Caenorhabditis elegans: one gene and its partners. The protein of the gene in region 4 interacts with the protein of the main gene of each other region in a pairwise test. Each region holds a gene or a part of one and is shown on either strand. Other genes may lie near its edges.

Region 1 (5,326 bases), on a different chromosome or scaffold from region 4:
GCAGACATCTCAACTGATTTCGCATGGTTAAGAGTGTGCTGACGTCACAATTTTTCTGGGAAAAAAATCGCGCATTTTTTGTAGATCAAACCGCAATGAGACTTTCTGACACTACGTGAAGTTGGATTTTTGCAATCTTCCGCGATTTTTTTTTCATTTTGTTTGTGATTTTTTAAAGAAATTTAGGACAATTTTGGATTTTTGCAAAAAGTCGCTTTGAAGTCTGAATAAAAGCATTTTCGGCGTATCCTGCGCGCATGGGTCTCGCCACGCTGACATCGAAAAAAAAAATTCTGAGAATGCTGCGTATTGTGCAACACATTTGCCGCGCAAAATATCTCGCAGCGAAAAAGAAAACTACAGTAATCGTTTAAATGGCTACTGTAGTGCTTTTGTGTCGATTTACGGGAGATCGATTCTTTAATTAAATTCTTCTTTTCAAATATTACCGGTACAGAGAGTGTAGATAGTTGAATGGACACAGACATTCCGGAACCCAAGGGGCGGGGCGCGGGAAGAGACGATTTTTGTCGATTTACGGAGTGTTTTTATTCACAAACTCTCCGTAAATCCATACAAATCGGCTCTTCCCGCAACCTTGGGTTCCGGAATATCTGTGTCCATTCAACTTTCCTCATTCTCTGGACCGGCAATATTCGAAAAGAAGAATTCATTTCAAAAATCGAGCTCGTAAATCGACACAGAAGCACTACAGAAGTCATTTAAACGATTACTGTAGTCTTCTTTTTCGCTACGAGATGTTTTGCGCGTCAAATATGTTATGCAATACGCATTCTCAGAATTTTTTGTACAAATATTGATGTTTTTATTTTAATCATAAGATGGTTAAATTTACCAACAACTAATTCTTAAATTGATTAGCACTTATCAGTGTCTTATCAGCAATCAAATGACCAAAACATCTAATAGGACGAATTTTCGCCTATTTCTCAGCAACTAACAATGCAACTTTCTCATTCTTCATGTCTCCTGTATCATAGACAAATTGATTAGCTCACGTAGTGCCAGACGGTCCCATTACGGTTTGATCTACAAAAAATGCGGAAATTTTCGCCCAAAAAAATGTGTGACGTCAGTACGTTTTTAACCATCCGAAAACAGTTGAGAACTCTGCGTTTCTTCTCACCCGCATTTTTTGTAGATCAACGTAGATCAATCCAAAATGAGACACTCTGCCACCACGTGTAGCTTCTTCTTCTGCTGCTGCTGCTACAGTCTGTGTGTACAAAAGTCTTCTCACATAGTAGGTAGGTGCAGACTTCTTTCTTTATCAAATCTTCCCTTCTTCAACATTACATGGCGTGGTTTTCTCGTGGCATTTTCCAAGAGAGGCTCCACCCCCCCCCCCCCCCCCATCGCATGTACTTTGTTCATTGGTCAAGAAGAATCGTATATAACGGGCAGCGATAACGTCCCAAATCTTTGTCGTATGACGACGGGGACGATCGGAAATTGAGAGGAGGAGGGGGTAGTGTGAAAAATACATGAGGACGCGATGAAGCTGCTGGTCAGCAGCAGGCCCCAAGCCACTGTGTTTTATTGCAAGACAGTTCGATCTTCACGTTGATATCAGACATATATAGAATATACATCTCAAGGTCTTCTATTCTCATTTCTTAGGCAGCCTGTTAATATGTTGATAATGAACAATCATTTGACCGCCCGTTTTTCCGAGTCACTTCATCAAGGACTTGATTTCTTTCCAAAAAAACTTCCAAAACCACCCAGCAAATCATTGTTTCAAAAAAAGTTTGCTCAAATGATTAGAAATCAAAAGTTCAAATGTTTTTTTGCAACAGCTGTCCCTAGCCTGTCTCACATCACAGTTCAATTGTTGTAGTTTACCTCTCCTCTTCTCCTTCATTTTATCTCTAAAACGCATCGATTCGGGGGCACTTTGCATTTGTTATCGTGTCTAGTGTCTCTTGGCATTATTCTCGTTGTCACAAAAAAAACCAATACAAACAAGGCGTATTTCAGGTCAAAATGACACCTCAATCGTCTCCGAGCTCGTCTCGTGATCACGTTTGTCTCGTTTGTCAAGATTTCGCTTCTGGCTACCATTATGGTGTCCCGTCATGTGTCGGATGCAAGACATTTTTCCGGCGAACAATTATGAAGAAACAAAAGTACATTTGCCAATTCGAGGGCAATTGTCCAGTTGATAAAAGTGAGTTATTTAGCACACTTGGTGTCAGGCTGTCCCATTTCGGTTTGATCTACAAGAAATGCGGGGATTTTTCGCCCAAAAAATGTGACGTCAGCACGTTCTTAACCATGCGGAATCAGTTCCGCAATTCTCGTAGATCAAAACGAAATGGGACACTCTGACACCACTTGTTAGCAGTAACAAGGAACTTATAAAAAATATTTCAAAAGTTCAGCTATCCGCTGTGCCTGCCGATACTGCCGATTCGAGAAATGTTTGAGCGTGGGAATGGACCGAAACGCCCTCCAACAAAACCGTGACCCTATCGGATACACAAAACGTACCAGGCGTCCAAAAAAAGAGCTGAAGACTACCTCGGACTGTTCAAGTGACGAAGGAGCAAGCACCCCACCATCAGTGTCTCCATTACAGCTATCGGTAATTAATTAGTCCAATTACGGTTTGATCTACAAAAAATGCGAGAATTTTTTTGCCCAAAAAATGTGTGACGTCAGCACGTTCTCAACCATGCAAAATCAGTTGAGAACTCTGCGTCTCTTTTCCCGCATTTTCTATAGATCTACGTAGATCAAGCCGAAATGAGAAACTCTGACACCACGTGATCCCAAATTACAGCCTCCACCAATCTCGCCACTCCTTTTCCAAGCTGCACCACTGAAACCTCGTCGCTGCATCCTACAAACTCTTGCCGAACGCGAAAAGTGTGCAAATGATCTCCGACTCTCCGAATATCTTCCAATCCGATCTCTCCACGAGGCTCTATGCTCAAAGGCTCTGCTGAACGACACGGCTTTTTTGGAAAAGTGGGGACAGCCGAGTGAGAGACATCAGATCTTCGATCTACGATTCGTCAATCACGACGACTACCACTATTGGCACGAGAGAGACTGGTTCTTGTTGACAGAGTATGCCAAAACATTCGATGTTTTTGAGGCGCTCGATTATCAAGATAAGGTTGGAAGAAAACCAGAAACATGTATAACGATTTAATTATTTCAATCCTTTCCAGGCCGAACTTGTTCGCCATGCCGCAATAACAGTCCCAGTCCTGGTTCAAGTCTGGAACTCCCCGGACTACGGACCAGACACAATTGTATTCCCAGATGGTGCCTACTTCGATCGTACTCCAGAGCCAACCCGGTAAGTTGTCGGTCACATATACTCCAAACCGAGCCCCAATTCCCGTCTCGTTCCGCGTTGTGTTCAATCGTTATAGGCCAGCCGGACTCAACAGGAAAAAGTATCAAATGTTGGATCTCGTGCTCAAGCCGTTCCGTGATCTACAGCTCGACGCAACCGAATTTGCAGCGTTCAAAGCGGTAACGTTTCTGAATCCAGGTCCGGGCGGAATCTCAATAAGAGCCAAACTTTCACTTTGATGCGATTCCAGACGCTGACATCTCTCTACCGGCTCGCAAGCTTGTGAACAACGAACGAGTCCGCATCACCAAGCAGTTATACGGCTACATGGCCATGAAAGACGACGTGGACACGGCAATCGAAAGGTTGGTGAAATCACGTTTTTCCTTCCTTTGATGCATTCATCTATTACTCGCTTGTCGATCAAATCAAACATTGATAGATCACAATTTGATGTGTCTTGTTGCGGACTAGCTAAGTAAGCTAAGTTGGAACACTTTGACCAAAATTTCGGTAAATTCTCTAAATTTTGCTAAATTTTCAAATTTTTGGTAAAATGCTAAAATTTTGGTAAATTCTCAACATTTTGGTAAAATGCTAAAATTTTGGAAAAATTCTCACAATTTTGGGAGGCACCACGGAAACGAGAACATGTGAAAAAGGAGAATTACGAAAAGGAGAACACAAAACCACGCCTATTTATCCGTGCCGAGCGCAAGTTTTTGCATAAACTTGTGCAAATTTTTATTTTCAAACGAGACAACGAAGATCCGAACTAACGAATTCGTGTGATAAACAACACGCGATACGTTCTTTCGGAGCTTCGCGTTATCTCGTTTGAAAATAAAAATTTGCACAAGTTTCTGCAAAAACTTGCGCGCGGCATGGAAAAATGGGCGTGGTTTTGTGTTCTCCTTTTCGTAATTCTCCTTTTTCACATGTTCTCCTTTCGGTGGTGCCTCCAAAAGTTTTGGCAATTTATTAAAAAATTGGCAATTTACCAAAATTTTAAGAATTTACCAAAATTTTGAACATTTCCCAAAATTTAGGCAATTTATCAAAAAATTGGCAATTTATTAAAATTTTGAGAATGTACCAAAAGTTCGGCAATTTACCAAAATTTTTAGCCCCCGGCACTGATAGATCACAATTTCATCCCCGTGTTGCAGATTCGCACGATTGGTTCTGATGGGAACGTCCATGTCAAAAATGGCGTGCGAATCGAAAGAGGCCGTGTGGATTGCAGACTTTTTCGAGAATATCGGCTTCTCGGCGTTTGCCCGGCAACTGTTTTTCGGTGATACGACGAGCGTTGTTGCTCACAAATTGTGAAGTGAATAAATTTAAATTTAATAAATTAATTTCCAGAAATATTTACACGCTTGAAAAAAAATCTCAATGCTAATCCTATTTATATACGTTTATTATTATTTTTTTTTTTTGGTATTTTTTTTGCAATAAAGTTTTAACTTTTTTTTCTTACCGCCTGAATTGGTGCAGCAGCAACAACGGCTTCTCCAAAATCTCCCCACTCATCGTCGTCATCGTCTTCTTCTTTCTGTATTTCCGAATTTTGAAATCCCGTAAATTCGTCCTGTGATAATGCAGTCGTCATCTGAAATTACGGGATTTTTGGGGTAAATTTTTGGCAAAATTAGTTCAATTTTTAGAACATTTTTTGACAAAAAAAATTGATTGCAAATTTTAATTTCAAAATGTTGCATTGCTATTTTAAAGTTGATTGAAGGTTTTTGTTCATAATTCAAAGCAGGGGTCGGGGGCAAACGATTTTTCCGGCAAATCGGCAAACTGACAATTTGTCGAAAATGACATTTTCTGGCAAATCGGCGAAATTGCCGGAATTGAAAATTTCCGGCAAATCGGAACACCGGCAATTTGCCGAAAACGAAAAATTCCGGCAAACCGGCAATTTCCCGAAAACGAAAAATTCCGGCAAACCGGCAATTTCCCGAAAACGAAAAATTCCGGCAAATC
Region 2 (5,129 bases), on a different chromosome or scaffold from region 4:
TATGCATTTGTATTATTTAAAATTTGCCATCTGAATTTTTCAAAGAGCTGAAAAGCAGAAAAAAATGATTAGAGGTTTTTTGCATGAATACTGAAAGTTGATTACTTAGGGTCAAAAATATCTTTAATAGTCAAACTGGGCAATATTTTCTTTAATTATGTCAATTGTAAGCTTGCTGAAAATATATAAAAGTAGCTCTAGTTGCCCAAAGACCTCGAAAGTTTACCCAAACAACTAAATTTCATAATGAGACTTTTCAAAGTTTTTAAAATATTTTACATTGCAGTTCAAAATTTCAAAAAAAAACTGTTCAATTCAGCTAAAATCTTCAATATTTATGTTTGTATGTGGCACATGGCCGGAAATCAATGTTCATTTAATGATCATTGAAATTTTGACCTTTCTTAAAAAGTTTTAAAACATTTTTGAGAAATCCGATTGCATAATTTTGTAATTTGGGATTAATATAATTTACAAACTCTGTTTAAGCATGAAAACCCAAAAAATTGATTTTTTGACAAATTCATTATTGACAGAAACTATATCCATAATTACGTATATGTTACAAATTTGACAGGAGACTGTTGTGGAAAGAAACGGTGATAGCATTATAAAGTTTTGAAAATCATGGGTGAGATCACAAAAACAGAACGCAATATGTGTGAGAATGTGTGAATAAGTGGGATTAGAATTTTAAAGCATGTATGTACATTTGTTATGAGTGATTATGATATTCGTAACCCGTCTCCAACTCCGAGTTTAACACCTTACGCCGCACTCGTGATGACTGCTCGATGTTGCTTTCACGCACCTGAAAGCTGAATCGAATAGAATGAAAATGTCTTGGCTGGAGAACATTCTTTACCTTTCCAAGATGAAATGTTTCTTTGATGCTTTGACGAAATCTTGTTGAAAGGAATGCGTAGAGGAATGGGTCGACGGCGGCATTAAAGAACAGAAGCAGGAAACTGATGGGTTGGAGTACACTTTGAAGGCAGTTCAAACATCTTGGCGCTGAAAAGTTTGATGTTTATGATCTTGGAACTTGGAGGTTCAGGTGGACGACGTGCTTACCCATCGGATCTCGCCAGACGGTCCACATAAAATATACATATCTCGGGAGTGAGAAGAACGCGAATGCCACGACGATTCCGACTGCCAAACGACCAACCTGAAGTGAAATTGAATGTCAGAAATATATCAACAAAATACTTTTTTGTTGAAAAATGTATGTTTATAAATTTTGTCGATTTTGTAGTTTGTAGTTTGATATTACTTCTGAAAATCTGGAGGCTTTCCTCACAGTGAATGACCCTTTTTTTTTCTGTCCCGTTAATAAATGTTCCAATTTTTGAACTGGTTTTAAACACATGTGCCTAGTCTTTTGATTTATACATGTACTTTTTTAAAAAGCAAGTTTCAAGCTAAATATCAAATGCTGCCCTATACCAAACTTTTGAATAATTCAACAAATTTCAATAACTTTTGGTTTTACCATATGGCTAAGTGTCATCTCTCAGAACTAAACGTTTGAGAAAAAGTGGTTCGACTTGGCACAAACAAACTGTGAACACATGTTCTGAATCTTTAAACAAACCTTTCTCCTCTTCTCCACTGACACACCGCCGGTTGAGGCTTCGGATCGCCAGCTTGATCTTGGCAAAAGCTTGTTGGCGGAGTGTTTCGTGATTGTTGCGGCCTTGCTCACCACGAGGCCGATGGTAGCGTAGATGCAAAGAAGGATTACTAGAGGGACGGCGTACCTGAAAAATTTTAAAAGTCAAAACAAAATATATATAGAGTTGACGAACGCACCAGACGATGAAGTTGATAGTGGCGACTAGCTTCAGGAGGTTGAATCCATAAATTTCCACATGACGTCTAGTGCAGATCTGGAAAAATCTTTATTTCGAGAAAAGGAACTTCTTGAACTAATTTGGTAATACTTCAACTAACAAAAGATCTTTAGAAAATTCTTTTAGAAAAAAAACAATGGCAAAGTTTGCATATTTAGCCATATTGTATCCAAGCGGTTTTAGAATTTTTTTTAAATAATAGTTTTTAGCCTGAATTTTTTCATACTCGGCTGTGGTTAACCTGTATGCAGGCAGGTAGGTGAAGTTACTTACTGTGTATGTCTCATTCCCGTCTGATATCTCTAAAAACTGGCTAGCCACTACATATGGGGTGTTCATAACTGCGCTAGCTGAAATTTAAGAAAACATTTCATTTCCACATTTCTTTTTAAGTCAGCTTACTTAGCCAAACAACAGCTGACGATGTGATGAGCACTTTTTGTGAAAATGCTCTTCGCACCCGCAATGGACGGAGCACCGCAATCAATCTTTCAACCGAGACCAGCACCTGAATATCAAAATGTTGCTTTTCAAAGATTCCCTACGTCATGATTGCCTACCAGAATTCCAGCCGACACATTTGGTATGAAGTGTAGTACGTAGATGTATGAATAACATAACACTTTGCCAAACGGCCACCGTCCATGTCCTTGGAATACAAAATTCACAGCGTTCTGGAGAACGCAGAAGATTCCGACAAAAAGGTCGGCAACCTAGAAATAGATTATTTTCAGAATAGGAGGTGAGTTTTGGAGGAGAGTTACCGTCAGATTTGCCAGAAAGAAGTTGGGCACACTTCGGACTCGTTTCTGCGAGAAGAAGACCAGCAGAATGATAAGATTTCCTGAAAGAATTTATGTTATAGCTTGATGGTAATTTTGTTCAAATTTGCCCATAGCTTAATTTCCTTTTTTAAAATAAATTGTTCAAGTTCTAATAGTTTGTCCTCTACCACTTACTATTAACTACGTACTTCTACCATATAATTTGAACCTAAATGTCGATTATCAGTTTAGTTTCACCAATTATTGCTCACTTCAATGTAATCTAATTATAGCCTACTGTTGATTCTGTCTTCTGATATATTGTCATCTGATATTGGATAACAAATCAAAAATGAATGTCATTGTTTGCTTGGTTGTGTGTTTGCCTAGCTACGAAAACCGTCCTAATGAGAAAATCAAATGAAATTTTGTCGCATTCACGAGTCTGAGTTAGAAGAAATTAGAAAAAAAAACAATTCGATTGTGAAGAAAAGGTGTGAAGCAGAAAATGATCTCTGGGTATGCCGGAGCATGCTTTAGGTTTAGAATGAATTTTGAAAGTGAACATCGAAAAACTTCGAAAAAAAACCATTAATATCTGCAATATTTAATATAATCATTGCAAAATATTTTCAGATATTAAAAATATGAACAAAGATCCTTGGCATACCGATTATAGTGGCCAGAAAGACAAAAAGGTAGGATACACAGAGCAAAAAGTGTACCACAGGATGATTAAGTGGGGAGTCGCTTTCCATTCGTTCTGAAAATATTCTGGTGAAAAAACATTGTAACAGTTTCTAAAAACGTAGAGCAGGTGAAAAGTTTTAAGTGTAAAGTTCGAATTCCAACCACACAAACAGAAATAACACTTTGAGAATAATTGAAAAATGTTGTGACGCAGGGGAGGAGCTAGAGCAACGAAAAAGAAGAATGAAAACGATACTGGATTTTCGGCCCTAAGATTTCAATGAATGATTAAAGATGTGAATGAGATGAAAAAAACGAGAATGAAATGAAAAAAGTTGCAAGACGAGACGGGCAGTTCAAAGAAGAACGCTTGAAGTGTTGTGAAAAGTTCACGAAACACATCTTCTTTTTGCCGTCTAATTTCCTCTTTTACTTTCCAAGTAAAGAAATTCGGGGGAATTCGGAAAAGAATTCGGAGAGAAAAGGAAGTCGGGAAGACACATAGATCAAGTGAATTTTTAAAAAAGCTCAAAGTATCCTAGGTTGACACCCACCACATCATTCTATGAATAGAAGAGCAGGTGGAAATGTTTCAGGGAATAGGAGGAAGAAGTTACGATGTCGTTCAGAGTTGACGATATGCACATAAAGTAGGCGGATGTCGAAAGGTGGAACTCAAAGATCGGAAGTGTACAAAAAGTCAAAAGTGAATAAGCTTTAAAGATAAAACTTGAAGTTGAATGCCAGCGGGATTTTGAAAAGGTTAGTCACCGTAAAATTAATAGTAACTTTCACACTTCATCGAAAAGTTATTTTTCGAATATAACAGGTACTCAAGTTGTAAATCGCGGACTTCCATCGGTGTCGGCTGCGCATTTAGCATAAAACCACACCCACGCAGGTTTACCCCCCAACTGTTGGTTATCTGAGAACATAGATTTAGCTACAAAGGATCACAGGGAATTGTCTGTTCAAGTTCAAATTTTCAAACTCAACCCAACAAAAGTGTTGAATGCTCAATTTTCACAAATTTGAACACATCCATTTTCGGAGTCAATTGCTCAGAAAATTTCTAAGTAATGATGCAACACGGTCCGACAACTACCGTGTTCCGCGCGGCGATGTTGAGAGCAACGCGAAACCTGGGAGTTGTTGGACTCAGACACGTTCGCATTTTTGGAAAATTCAGAGTACCAGAGCGAACATTTTAAACTAAAAGATACTATCCTTGAGCTCAAAGAAAATCTAAGAATTTAAGAAAAAAATTTTAATGAGGGCATTTTCCAAATTTACATATTTGCAAGTCAAACCAAATGGGAGAAAATTACAAGAAAAAAAAATAATATCACAAATTCAAAAAATTTCAAAATCTACAAAGAAAAATTGTTTTCTTCCAGCTCAAATCGCATAAATAATGACGTGAATTTCTATCCCAATTTTGCCAGTCATTACTAACCATTAGACACTTAATACGTGTGAGAACGCGCGCAAAAATGTTCATTTTCACGGGAATTGTTTTCTTGGAAATTTGTAAATCATTAAATGTGAATTTGAAATTTTAAACTAAATGTTTAATGTCGGAAAAATGTTTTTTTCGCAAATGATTAAAAAATTTATTTCGAAATTTTTGAATCAGGCTAGATGCTATGAACAGCCATTATCCTTTTGATTTATGATAAATTCTCAAAAAATCACACTCCAAAATATGAGAACTTTCGAAAAAAAATGGAGACGTGAATGAATTAGCACCTCCTGTTTTTGCCGAGCGTCTGCCTACAAAACCTGGCTTCTTCTTCCCGGTTGTCTAAGAATACCGAGT
Region 3 (7,621 bases), on a different chromosome or scaffold from region 4:
AGAAAAAGGCGATAAGAGGCGCCTCCGGGCCGCCTTAAAGCCTCAATTCTACGTGGCGAAGTTCTCAACAAAGTTTTGTAAAATTTACGACAACTAAAAATTTTTTCAGCACATTCTGATTTATTATTTTAGTCACCGACTTTAATGGGTGGCCTTTAATGATTTTGAAGTTAATTTGAAAATTTTTAAAATCAATAAAGATGAACATGGACATGGATTTTTCACAAAACTAACAATTAAGAGGCAACAAAAACAAACATAATGATAGTTGTTAGAAAAATGGAAATTGAACAAAAATTTCAAAAACAAAGAAAGCAAGTCAACAAGTGTCTAACGAAGAAGTAAACTTTTCTCATCACTTGGACGCCGAGTGTGCTCAAAACCATTGTGCTCCGAAATATGACACTTTTCAACTCGTCCCATCGTTCAAAGTTATTATTCCCTCTCATTTTTTTTCCCGCGCTCTCGTTGGCTCTCGTATCATGAGCTCTCGTTGACAAGTAACTTTTAAGTTTCAAAATTTATCTATAGTTGTTAAAGTATAATGTTTTCCTAGAAGCTGTAAGCTTGGCAGGTGACTTTCCCTGCGGGAATTGCGAAAAAAATAGAGACTGAATAAAACGCATATACTGTTTCATATTGTCTGGCACGTGCCTTGTGGCAGGAGGTATACCAATACACTGCCCCGTTCTGATCCGATTACTTTGACAAAAGTCGCCGAGTCTGATACTCACAAACAGTAGCGTCAAGTGAGGAGGGCTCACTTTACCAGAATTTATTATGAATGTTTCTGGTATCATCACATTGTTTCAACTTTCCACGCGCTGTTACATTGCGTTTTGAATCGATTTTTTGGTATTCTGCCAAATATAGCTTCAGTGCGTTGCACTCGAGCATCTGAACATATTTGCTTTTTGTTTGGCGAGAGGAAGGAAAAAGCACTGAAAAGTGCTTAAAAATCGTTTTGAAATAAGGATTAGTAACTGGATTAGAGCTAGAGCATTAAGTGATATTAGGCAATTTTTGTTATTTCTAAAAATATGGAACTATGCGGGTGGAATTTTTTGTTCACATGAACGTGTCAAAAAAATTGTTAATGTTCATACCCTCATTTACATTTCCACTTTTATGGCATTTTGGAAAAAGATGGCTATATTCGCCCTGTTAGTTTTAGAAAACCTTTTCCACTAGATATTGAAATTTCGAAGTGAAGTTTTCGCTTTCATCAAACATTCTTCGAGAGCTAGCTTCAATTGTTCTCCTTCATTTTTTCTATTGCTTTATGTTGCATTGAATAGCTAAAAAAAAATTCAAAAAGCTATCCCTTCAAAAAAAGAAAATTCGCTGCTTCTCGACGTGAAAAACAATGAAAAAAGTGTTCGGTGAGTACTTGTTCTATTTACACAGCAAACCTTTTTAGCAGCCGAGCTGTTAGAAAAACCAAAAAACGCCACCAAAATATGCTTATTCACATTTTCCGTCATCACCATCGCCGCCGATTTCTGCGCATGACAAAGTGGCTTTTCTCTCTTTTTTTGGATTTCAAGGTCTAACATTGCCGTTCTAATGCCCGTTTTTTAGGTTACATTTCAAAATAACCGACTATTTTCAGAAATGTTTTCTCATCAAGATCGAGACCGCGATAGGAAGGAGGACGGTGGTGGAGACGGTACTGAGATGAAATCCAAGAGTCGGAGTCAGCCAAGTGGACTTAATCGCGTGAAAAATCTTTCAAGAAAGCTATCGGCAAAGTCAAGGTTAGTTTTTGAGGGGTTTTCGGGGGGTCAAGGGAAGTCAAAAACCGCAATTCTAAAATTTTGCGATGGGTAGCCACAGAAGGGATGTTCTTTTCATTTGAAAATGTGAAAAAGATTAATTTTTTTTAAAACCACACTGATGAGTTTAGTGAAAAAATTAAACATGCTTCTAGCGCCTCAGCTAATCAACTCAGATTTTCCGTACAAATTACTTTAGTATTACGAAATATTGAAAAATTCATCGGCCCTCAGCAAATTAGATTCCAATTCGGGAAAATACTGAATTTTCCCTGAATTCCGTGTTTTGTCTGTGTGAATTAAAGATTGTTCACATTTAAAATAACGTACCAAGGTTTTTTTTTGAAAACTTTCTAGATCACTAGTTTTTGAAAGACTAAATATTAATTTTCAGCAACTTTTTGTAAACGCCCATTACGATTAGCAAAACAGAAAAAGATAACAGCAAAAATGTTCAATGCAAAAACAAAAGAAAAGAGACTGGAGCCTTAATGCAAAACGAACAATGTGGGGGCCCTTCCCGAATAAGTGAGCCGCGCGGAACGCTGCCGCCCTCCACTAAACAACGCGCGGTACGATACTCCGTTCATCGGACCAACTTCCCCCCTCTTTACCTAGTTGGCAACATTTTCTTCGTATTCTCACGGATTCTCCTCATTCATTCCGCTTTCAAACCCAATTTCCGTGCATTTAGCATTGGAAAAACACGTGCCGCAACGTATCCGAAAATAGTGTGAGACGCAGACGGCTGGCGCCCCGCGTGAGGCGACCAAAAGGCTTTTCTTCTTTTTGTCCTCCGTTGAAAATCATGGTAAATTGAGTGATCTCGTTTGCGTATTTGTGTGTATGAGAGAGTGTGAGTGTGTGTGTGTGTGTGTGTGGACACGCCAAAGCTTGATGGAGTCACATGTATATCATGAAAAACACAAACAGATACCACACCAACGAATCTTGAACCTTGAGTTCTTCCGCCAGTGTTCATTTTTAACATCTCTTCATCGTTCTGCAAGGAGACCTGTCAAAATTTCCAACAAAAAAAAGAGTTTCCCATAAATTAGGAAAATTCTGATAGGTTCGGAAGTTTTCCGTGAAGTAACTGAATATATTTTCAATGATCACGAGAAGGCAATTGAATAAATGTTAGTTGGAAAATTTTTATTGAGCTTCTAGATTTTGTTGTCTAATATTTGAGCCTCAAACTTTTAATATAGGTTATTATTTTTTATTGCAGCCGACAATTTTTTGTGGCAATTTATATACAAAAGCATAAATATCTGAGATGCTTAGTTTCATAGAAATTCAGTTCAAGAGGCTTCACCGTATAATATAATATATTCTTGCTGAAACTACAGGAAAATTTAGTGGGAACTTGTGAAATTTGAAAGCTCCCAGATTCGATTTTGTCATTCTTTTATGCAATGCAAAAATTATTTTTAAAAAACTGTTTTCGACATTTTCTCATGATTTGTGAAAAAGTTTTTTTCTCAAATAGAAGTTAAGCTCATTTTTCTAAATAGTTTTTCTAAACCCTGGATTGTCTCAAATCCGCTGTAGAAAAGTTGAAGCGACTGACATCTTATGAGCTAAATTTTTCCTGAGTTTTTGAAATAGACTACATCTTGATAATTGAACATTACAGTTTGACAAAATTTATAAAAATATTGATCAGTTGGATTTTATTATTTTTCTGTTGTTTTGTTCTAGCTCCAGTAGGGTGGATATTTTTCAAAAATCTCAAATTTTTGTGCAACTTCTATTAGTACAAATATAAAAATATTTCAAACGTGCACTTTTTGAACATGGACATACGTTAAATTTCCAATATAAAGGGCAAACTTTCAGCTGAGTTAGGAGAATATGAGCAGCTGTTAATCACATAAATCTAACAAAAAAACCACATGTTCCAACTTAAAATTGATTTCAAAATTTTGTGGCCAAAATGAAACCCTACGATGTCAGCCGAGTTTACTTTTTCAAAGTGCAGTTAGAAAAATTGTCTCAATTTTTTATCAGTGGAAACGTTTTTGGTAGTCTCACTAATTTTAAAGTTTAACTCGTTTTAGTAGAAGTCATTTAAAAAATTCAAAAATTGCGGTGTAACAGTTCTTTTAATACTTTTTCAAATGCCATAAATCGTCTGTAATTAATTTTCTACCAACTTGACAATTTCAATTAGTAAAATCACAGTTTTAATGCATAACTTTTTGATGCTAGTCGTATCAAATTGTGATTATTGTTGTTATCTTCACCACTTATATTACGAGTGTATCAAATTTCGATGACACAATACGGCTATTATTCATTGAGCGCTTGTGTTTTCTCTATCGTCTCCACTGTCTGACCTTCGATGATGTTTTTCTACATGTTTTTTTGTTCTCTCAAAATAGATGTTTCAGTTCCTCCAACCTTTTGAAAATCTGTAATTGGTGTTGATTTTGGAACCTTTCCTATTGTCTCTTCTACCATTCATATCCGGCACATTTATGTCAAAACACTGACTGCACCTGCTGTTTTTGAAATTTAGTGTCTGGTGTCTGGGCGGCAGTCATAAGACCTGATGGGCATACGGTTTTCCTAGAGACTCCTACTGCAATGGTCATTCTGTGATAAGAAGTTGCTTTTTTGTTTATCCATTCAAAATTACCATCCAAAAACCACACCAGTTATCAATTTTTAAGTCTTTGAGACCCGTAAAATCAATCAATCATGTCCACATTGCACTTTTGCCTGTAGAAAAACGCGATTTTCGGTTTTCAATCTTATCTCATTTCTGGTTTTCGTTCCCATTTGACTACTTGTTGTCAATTTTTTAGGTTAGGTCTAAATAAATATTAAAGATTTTTTAAAAATTTAAATGAAAGTTCAATTTCTTCTTTCTATTTTTTTGTTCCTACCTACCAACGCTGTTTGCGCCGGAGGACGATAGACATAAGGAAACGAACACACGGGATGCCTTTCCCTTCTATTTTTCTCCTCTTTTTCTCTATCTCTCGCCATTGCTTTGTGCTGTATGGTCAACTCTCGTTGTCTTCGCTGTGCGTGTGTGTTTGTCTGTTGTTAGAAAACGAGGAAAATTGTGAGAAAGAGTGAGCGAGGAAGATCGAGAGAGAAGAGTGTGCGTGTGAGAGGTGTAGGGGTCGCGAGAGTGTGCGGGAGGTTGGCGGACCTTTTACCACATTTTCGGCCAAAGGAAAAAAGGCATCGATCTTTGTTGGTTGTAGTTCTAGACATTTTTTGTTTCTGCTATGTTCTCAAAACACCAAAACTTGTTCTTAGATTTCTGATCTTTGAAAAATACATGCTCTTTATACACTTGTTTTTCTCGTTGTTTTGCTATTTGCAGGAGGTTCCTCGTGACTGTATTTATTGATTTTTTAACTGAACAATTATTCTGAGGAACTTGTGAATTCGAGATTTTACTTACGATCATTTACCTACCAACAACGTACGTTTTCAGAAAGGAACGCAAGGACCGCGATAGCACAGACAACAGTTCGAAAATGTCGTCTCCAGGAGGAGAAACGTCGACGAAGCAGCAACAAGAGCTCAAAGCTCAAATCAAAATCGGACATTACATTCTCAAGGAGACACTCGGAGTTGGTACTTTTGGTAAAGTAAAAGGTAAGCTACAACACCTTAAAATTCAACCAAACCGGAAAGTTAGAAACTTTTTCATTTGCTGCAACTTCCTGGCAACACCATAAGCTGCCAAATTGTTGCAAAAATTTTGTCCCAATCTGCCAAATACTGACATATTTATCTTTCTTTTCTGTTCATCTAGTTTTCACATTTTCAGTTGGAATCCATGAGACAACTCAATACAAAGTGGCTGTCAAGATTCTGAACCGTCAGAAGATCAAGTCACTGGATGTCGTTGGAAAGATTCGCCGCGAAATCCAAAACCTCTCGCTCTTCCGCCATCCGCATATCATCCGCCTCTACCAAGTCATCAGTACACCTTCTGACATTTTCATGATTATGGAGCACGTTTCCGGCGGGGAGCTCTTTGACTACATTGTTAAGCACGGACGGCTGAAGACCGCAGAAGCTCGTCGCTTCTTTCAACAAATCATTTCCGGCGTTGACTACTGTCATCGTCATATGGTTGTCCATAGAGATTTGAAGCCAGAGAATTTGTTGCTCGATGAGCAGAACAATGTGAAGATTGCGGACTTTGGACTTTCAAATATTATGACGGATGGTGACTTCTTACGCACCAGCTGCGGATCGCCAAATTATGCTGCCCCTGAGGTTATTAGCGGAAAGTGAGTGATTATGGTGGTCTCCTGATCATGGTTCAATGTAAAATAAAAACCAAATTAGAACTGAATAACAAAACATGAAACATGTGTTCGCAAACACCAAGACGACATTTTGCACTAGTAGAAATCCAATTAAAGTAATTGAACAAGATTAGACACAACAACTTTGTTTTGCAGGTTGTACGCAGGTCCCGAAGTTGATGTATGGTCGTGTGGAGTCATTTTGTATGCACTTCTTTGTGGAACCCTGCCATTTGATGATGAGCACGTGCCAAGTCTTTTCAGAAAAATTAAATGTACGTTAGTGTGACATGAGAATCAAAACACAAAAATGGCAAAGGATTACGACAACATACCAATTTCATTTAGACATATGAAAGCGAAATGGGATTTGAAAATTGAAATATCCCTATTACAAAAGGCACTATTACTATGTTTTGGCGCACTGCCCGGGTGATAAATGTTTGAAATTTAAATTGGAATCATTAAAAATTATAACGTTCACGAAATATGTTTTTTAGCTGGCGTATTCCCAACTCCAGACTTTCTGGAGCGCCCAATTGTAAATCTGCTTCACCATATGCTCTGCGTAGACCCGATGAAGAGGGCCACCATCAAGGACGTCATGTAAGTGGTCTTCTAAAAAGAAAAAAAAAACAAACATCGTTGCTATGAGACGCCAAGGAAACAAGACAATAACTGCTTTATATTTTCAGTGCTCACGAGTGGTTCCAGAAGGATTTGCCGAACTACTTGTTCCCACCAATCAACGAGAGTGAGGCTTCCATTGTTGATATTGAGGCTGTCCGAGAGGTCACTGAGGTATTAATCGTGTTCGATAGGAGCAGAAGTTTCTAATCACAATGAAAAGTTTCAGCGCTATCATGTCGCCGAAGAGGAAGTCACCTCAGCATTGCTGGGAGATGATCCACATCACCATTTGTCGATTGCATATAACTTGATTGTTGATAACAAGAGAATTGCCGATGAGACTGCCAAGTTGTCAATTGAGGAGTTTTATCAAGTGACGCCGAATAAGGGACCTGGACCAGTTCATCGCCATCCAGAGCGCATTGCAGGTAGGAGAGGGTGCATAGAAAAACTCTTGGTGGCAAAGAATAATAAAACTTTTGCATCGAACATGAAATTCGTAAAACAATATCTAAATCTTCAATTTCAGCGTCAGTCAGCAGCAAGATCACACCAACTCTCGACAACACGGAAGCCAGTGGCGCGAACCGCAACAAACGTGCCAAGTGGCATCTGGGTATCCGATCCCAAAGTCGTCCGGAAGACATCATGTTCGAGGTGTTCCGTGCGATGAAGCAGCTGGACATGGAGTGGAAGGTGCTCAACCCATATCATGTGATTGTTCGTCGCAAGCCTGATGCACCCGCTGCCGACCCGCCAAAGATGTCGTTGCAGTTGTACCAAGTGGATCAGAGAAGTTACTTGTTGGATTTCAAGAGTTTGGCCGACGAGGAGTCTGGATGTAAGGGTTTTCTTTGTTTAGATTGAACTTTTTGAAAGTGGAACCTGTTTAAAATATTTAGTTAATCGTTCTAGAAAATACTAGAAAATACA
Region 4 (5,195 bases):
AACAATGTCTAATATTCTTCTTTTCTCAATTTTCTCAGCTTTTTTTCTTCTATGTCACTTTTTGTTTCATAGCCAATATGATAGGGTCTAAATGCGTTTACTGTGTAGATTCGATTAATTTTAATTATTGCATTGATGAATTTTAACATTCTTTTTTTTGTAGAAGACTATACTGCCACTTTCACCTGACAAACAATAGGACCTCAGACAGTTTCTGGCACACTCTTATTGATGGATTCCCAAAATACAAGGTCTTTGTCCAGAACCGCCGTTCAACACAATGTGCATTCCACTCGATCCAATTGAGCAGATTCTAATTCACCTAAACGGAGGCCCAATCTGTGACAGTTTATGACCAAATATTCTGTTGCACAAACGTTACATAATCAGGTCAATCTGCCTGCACACACACAATGTTGCCGACTGACGTAACACAGAATGATAGTTTATTGGAGGAAAACAAATGGGCTCTCGAGATAACTGGAGTAGATTACGCAGTTTTGAAATATCGCAGTATTCTTCACTGTCTATCTAAAATCTTATAAAACCAAAAATTACCTCCAAATGGGTTTCTTGGAAAACTACATGGTTCGGAAAATTCGGAATTGTTTGGTATTTTCAATTTATTTTTGAAATTTTCATACACTATTTCCAATTCTTAGTTGGAAAAATTGTTGTTAACAAATTTAAATGTTTTTTTTTGTTGAAAAGTCTTAAAATTTCAAAAAAATATCAAACAATACATATATTTTGCGAAATTTTCGAATTACTTACTTAAGTTTAGAAACGGTTTTGAATACTGAATTCTAGAATATTTCCAGCAATGATTCTCGTCACTAAATGTTTTCTCATTAGCTAAATTAAAATTGACAGCTCGGCCGTTGATGATCCCTTCTGAAAAGAATCAAGATTAGATAACCCCAATCGTTGTCTATTTTCAGAATAAATCGATATTTATAGTTTGACCTTTCCCTTCTGTCAGAATGTATTCGACCATCTGTGCTAAATTGGGGATGGATTAAAGATCCTTCATTAACCTCTATATTACTGTACTATTATAGTATTCTCTGACACATAGCCTCTCTATAGATAGGGGTTACAGAAATGAAATGTTACCCCAAAAGAGGGTTATGAGCATAGAGTTCCAGCAAAAGAATTGACCTACAAAGAACCAAACTTGGCGGCTAATTAATGTTTTGAAAAATTATGACGTCACACTATTGCTTAGATTTCAGCCATGTACTGATTTAATCACAAACATAATCTAGATATAATCTATCAAATTTCTATTCTGACTGTGTGTGTCTTTCAGAAAACCTTTAAATTTCACTTTCCGGAAGAGATGTACAACTATTTTCACTTACAGCAATACTTTTTGGTCGATATATTCCAGCTACAATGACGAAATGTTTTTGGATTAGGGACTGTAGGTGTACTGTAGCTACAGTGCTGTAGCTGAATTTAAATATTATTTTACAGCGTATGAGAACATTATAGGCTACTTGTGTTACCGCTGGGTCCGTAGTTGTTTGGCTTCGAGAGAGGGAAATTTCCTGAAAATTAATGTTCAAGAGCTCTACTATTTCTTCGACACTTTTTCTCACTGAAACTTGATAGACTCTTATTCTGCAACTCATATGCCAACTGAGAACCATACCCAATTTCTCAACAATATCTGTTAGTTTTATCCGAACGCACAAATATATTACAACACCACACTGCGAATATTTGGAAGAGATGTCATCACACCCACTTTCCATCTCTTCACTGTCACCTTCTTATTCCCATAGACCACCAGGGGCGGAGCAGCACACCGTCGTTGCAGGCAGAACGAGCAAGAGTGCGCGAGAACAGTGTGTGCAAGGTCAGATGGTCATTATGCAACCAATTCGAGCGTTCGTTGACCAACATTTTCGCGCGTTCTGTCAGTCTGTTGAATTGTACACTATTTCATAGTATACTCTTTTTTTCAATTTATTAACTCTTATTATTTTTCTATCTCTATTTCTTTTCTAGTTTTCAGATGGTTCCAATGAATCCAGAATTGATGCATTATCCAAATCAACCACATATGATGCCAGGCTATCCAATGATAAATGCATATCAACAGTCATATTTACAGAATCCGGCACAGTAAGTTTTTATATTTCTGTATCCAGTCATAACTTTTCGTGCATTCGAATTATTACAAAACACCAATTCTCACTTTCAGATGGACCCCAGAAATGCTTCTGTGTATGCAAATGCAAATGCAGCAAATGGTTCCAGGAACAGCAACAAACTCAACCTACATGCCACCACAATCTAAAAATACAGTCACTCCAAATGCCACATCACCGCTGAGCCAGATTTCGGACAGAGATTCGGGAAATGACACAATCTCTCCACCACTCACTTCACAGAACAGGTATGTATTTCTTCTGCGCGGTAAAAAGAAGAGTTGCGCAATGTTTGAGTGTTTGGGCGGTCTCTACTTTATGGTCCAATTTGTTTCACGCAATACGTAGAAACAGGTCACCTTGTGACGTGGCAACTGGGTAAGAGAGTGACAGGTCAGAAGAGGGGGCAGATGGGGGACTGTATTGATGACGTGGCAGATGTTACCTCCTAATGATGAATCATATTGAATCCTATTGGCAGGATTCAAGACATCTAAACGGGAATCTCTTTCAACTGGCAAGGTTGGAAGTGGGATTTGAAAATTCAGTTAGTGATTTCAAGTTGATGTAATTTTTACCAATTCACACCTAATTAGAACAAAGAGCGGTTAGATGCAACAAAAAATATTTTAAGATGTTGTACAAAGAGATTAGGTGAGAACAATAGAGTCAGATTTAGCGGAATTTGAGAACACGGTTGTACAGTATGCCGAGGGAATTCTACGTTTCAGCGAGTTACTAAATTAATAAATAAGGCAACGATGACTGGAAGATTACTTTATCCTTTCTATAGTAAAAACGTTAAATTCAATTTTTCAGCGCAACCACTCCAAACTACCATAATCAGCCACAAATGCAATTGACTCCACTTCAACAAGCAAAACCAGAAAAAGAAGAAATCTCACCATATGCAATTAATAATATTCTTTCTTCGACTCAAAGTTCTCCAGACAACGGAAATGAAGCCGATGATAAAGAGAACAGTTCTGTTCGTCGTAACACATTCCCAGCGTCATCTGCTTCAACAAAAAAGCCACGTGGTACTCCATATGACCGTACTAACACACCAATGACAGTAGTTCCACAAATGCCACAGTTTGCTCCAGACTTTTCAAACTATAATCTCACAATGAATGCTTGGAGTGAGTTCTTTAAAAAGGATAGATGTATGGTTTGTGGTGATAACTCTACTGGATATCATTATGGAGTACAGAGTTGTGAAGGATGCAAGGGATTTTTCAGAAGAAGTGTTCACAAGAATATCGCATATGTTTGTACCAAAGGAGAAAATTGCACAGTGAGTTTAATTAGACAAGCATTTCAAAAATATGCTATTATATTTTTCAGTTCTCATATGAAAATTGTGCGGCAAATCGTGGAGTACGTACTCGTTGTCAAGCTTGTCGATTTGCCAAATGCCTCGCAGTTGGAATGAATCGTGACAACGTTCGAGTGAACAAAGAAACTGATAAAGATGTTAAACCATCAGTGGCTTCGCCCAATTTTGAGATGACATCACAAGTGAAAGAGCTTACGGCCGCCTTTGTTGCAAACATGCCATGCTCTACTCACTTAACATCGGGAACTCATGCTATTGGAGCAATTAAGAAATTTATTGAATCAGTTCCAGCTTTGAGCTCACTTTTGCCAAAAGATGAAAAAGCACTTGAAATGAGTATTCAAAAAGTGATGAGTGGTATCTTGGCTATTCGTGCGGCTTTCACATTTGATCCAATCACTTTCTATTCCTGTGAGAATCCAGTAAATTTGCTTCGTGGCGGCATTCGTAATACAGTATTCAATGATTGTGAAGTTGCACTTCTCTCTGGAATTCATATACTTCAAATAGTCAATGGAGGTGTCGCTGAGGTAAGTAATTGTTTGGCATAATGCCAAAATTGTCGGAATATTCCCAAATGACACAATTAATCCCTACCATAACACTCAAGAAAGTAAATATTGCGCCAAGAAAGTTAACCTTTTTCAGATTTTTACGAGTTATTGTCAAGGATTACGCCATCAACTGTCTCAAACACATCTACAAGAGATAGGACTCTGCGATCGATTGCTCATGAGATTGGGACCGTATCTCAATCAATAACAAATATATTACTTCTGATAAATTCAGAACCGATTCGGTGTCTGGACACGCTTCCAACCGGTTCTGAATTCTCACAAAACTTTATTCCTGTCTTATGAATCAATATAGATTCAAAATACTTGTTTAAAGTCCCCTTCCCCCGTTACTATCATTTTCTATTCATGTTCTCAAAGTCTGATCATTTCTTACTGATCTCTTCCTCCAGGTGTGAATTTAATTCTCTATCTCACTCTCTCGTTCGGGCTATATACTGTTTCTTTTTGAATTTCCAATTGATGTTGTTTGTTAGGCTGTTACAGTACCAAAAATTATATTATTTGAAGTTTGTTAAAAACTTAATATATTTGGTACTGCTTCTTGGTTGTTGAAAAGATGAAATAAATATTATTTGATAATTTAACTATTTTGTATGCAGGAAAAAATTTGACGTGCCACAACTTTTACCGTTATTTGTCGTAATTTGTCGTAATAGTAATTTGTCAATTTATTTGTCAAAATTAGTCAATTATTAAAAAAATAATAAAATTAATAGAAACGGTCGTCAGATGCGGTGCTTGCGTATACAGTATACTTCGGTGTTCACGTATGATCGACTACCGTAGTTCTTTGTTTTCGGTTCGACGCGCGAAAAAATTAGAGTGCATTTTTCGAGAATTCATTTTTTTCATTCTTTTCCGGACTTTTCTTGTTCGCGGACGTTTTTCGCTTCTTTTCTTTACACGCGTTATTGACTGACAAGTTTCAGAATGACTGAGCTCAAATTCAAGGGAGTTTACGTGGAGGATATAGGCCATTTAACATGCGGAACGCTTACATTGACTGAAAATTCGATTAACTTCATAGGCGATAAGGGTGGAAAATCAGTTTACATCACAGGAACCGACGTCGATAAACTGAAATGGCAAAAGCTTGGCAACAAGCCGGGACTACGCGTT

The links.
Region 1: the proteins of nhr-2 (region 4) and nhr-114 interact in a two-hybrid assay, tested with the Caenorhabditis elegans proteins (one large-scale study listed by BioGRID).
Region 2: the proteins of nhr-2 (region 4) and npr-21 interact in a two-hybrid assay, tested with the Caenorhabditis elegans proteins (one large-scale study listed by BioGRID).
Region 3: the proteins of nhr-2 (region 4) and aak-2 interact in a two-hybrid assay, tested with the Caenorhabditis elegans proteins (one large-scale study listed by BioGRID).

The regions. Positions count from the first base shown.
Region 1 is NC_003283.11:4,185,202-4,190,527, forward strand, and holds nhr-114 (Nuclear hormone receptor 114), read left to right. Parts: upstream 1-2,001; 5' UTR 2,002-2,007; coding exon 2,008-2,191; intron 2,192-2,405; coding exon 2,406-2,608; intron 2,609-2,806; coding exon 2,807-3,145; intron 3,146-3,200; coding exon 3,201-3,331; intron 3,332-3,407; coding exon 3,408-3,529; intron 3,530-3,581; coding exon 3,582-3,696; exon of another isoform or gene 3,697-3,809; intron 3,810-4,500; coding exon 4,501-4,663; 3' UTR 4,664-4,803; downstream 4,804-5,326. Other genes in the region: Y45G5AM.9 (Aftiphilin clathrin-binding box domain-containing protein), read right to left, coding at 4,815-4,946. UniProt on the Caenorhabditis elegans protein: Probable transcription factor which may have a role in detoxifying dietary metabolites arising from bacterial tryptophan metabolism.
Region 2 is NC_003284.9:17,154,580-17,159,708, forward strand, and holds npr-21 (G-protein coupled receptors family 1 profile domain-containing protein), read right to left. Parts: upstream 3,390-5,129; 5' UTR 3,379-3,389; coding exon 3,291-3,378; intron 2,701-3,290; coding exon 2,621-2,700; intron 2,570-2,620; coding exon 2,417-2,569; intron 2,365-2,416; coding exon 2,259-2,364; intron 2,207-2,258; coding exon 2,130-2,206; intron 1,893-2,129; coding exon 1,816-1,892; intron 1,764-1,815; coding exon 1,598-1,763; intron 1,172-1,597; coding exon 1,075-1,171; intron 1,061-1,074; exon of another isoform or gene 1,015-1,060; coding exon 866-1,014; intron 812-865; coding exon 716-811; 3' UTR 509-715; downstream 1-508.
Region 3 is NC_003284.9:16,794,475-16,802,095, forward strand, and holds the start of aak-2 (5'-AMP-activated protein kinase catalytic subunit alpha-2), read left to right. Parts: upstream 1-1,614; coding exon 1,615-1,757; intron 1,758-2,640; exon of another isoform or gene 2,641-2,700; intron 2,701-5,232; coding exon 5,233-5,396; intron 5,397-5,571; coding exon 5,572-6,040; intron 6,041-6,214; coding exon 6,215-6,333; intron 6,334-6,558; coding exon 6,559-6,664; intron 6,665-6,753; coding exon 6,754-6,859; intron 6,860-6,908; coding exon 6,909-7,116; intron 7,117-7,217; coding exon 7,218-7,529; intron 7,530-7,621. UniProt on the Caenorhabditis elegans protein: Acts as a sensor that couples lifespan to information about energy levels and insulin-like signals. Role in motility and response to oxidative stress. Involved in the establishment of germline stem cell (GSC) quiescence during dauer development.
Region 4 is NC_003279.8:5,817,937-5,823,131, reverse strand, and holds nhr-2 (Nuclear hormone receptor family member nhr-2), read left to right. Parts: upstream 1-1,997; 5' UTR 1,998-2,023; coding exon 2,024-2,133; intron 2,134-2,212; coding exon 2,213-2,407; intron 2,408-2,978; coding exon 2,979-3,456; intron 3,457-3,506; coding exon 3,507-4,028; intron 4,029-4,146; coding exon 4,147-4,260; 3' UTR 4,261-4,658; downstream 4,659-5,195. Other genes in the region: hmg-3 (FACT complex subunit ssrp1-B), read left to right, coding at 5,007-5,195. UniProt on the Caenorhabditis elegans protein: Orphan nuclear receptor.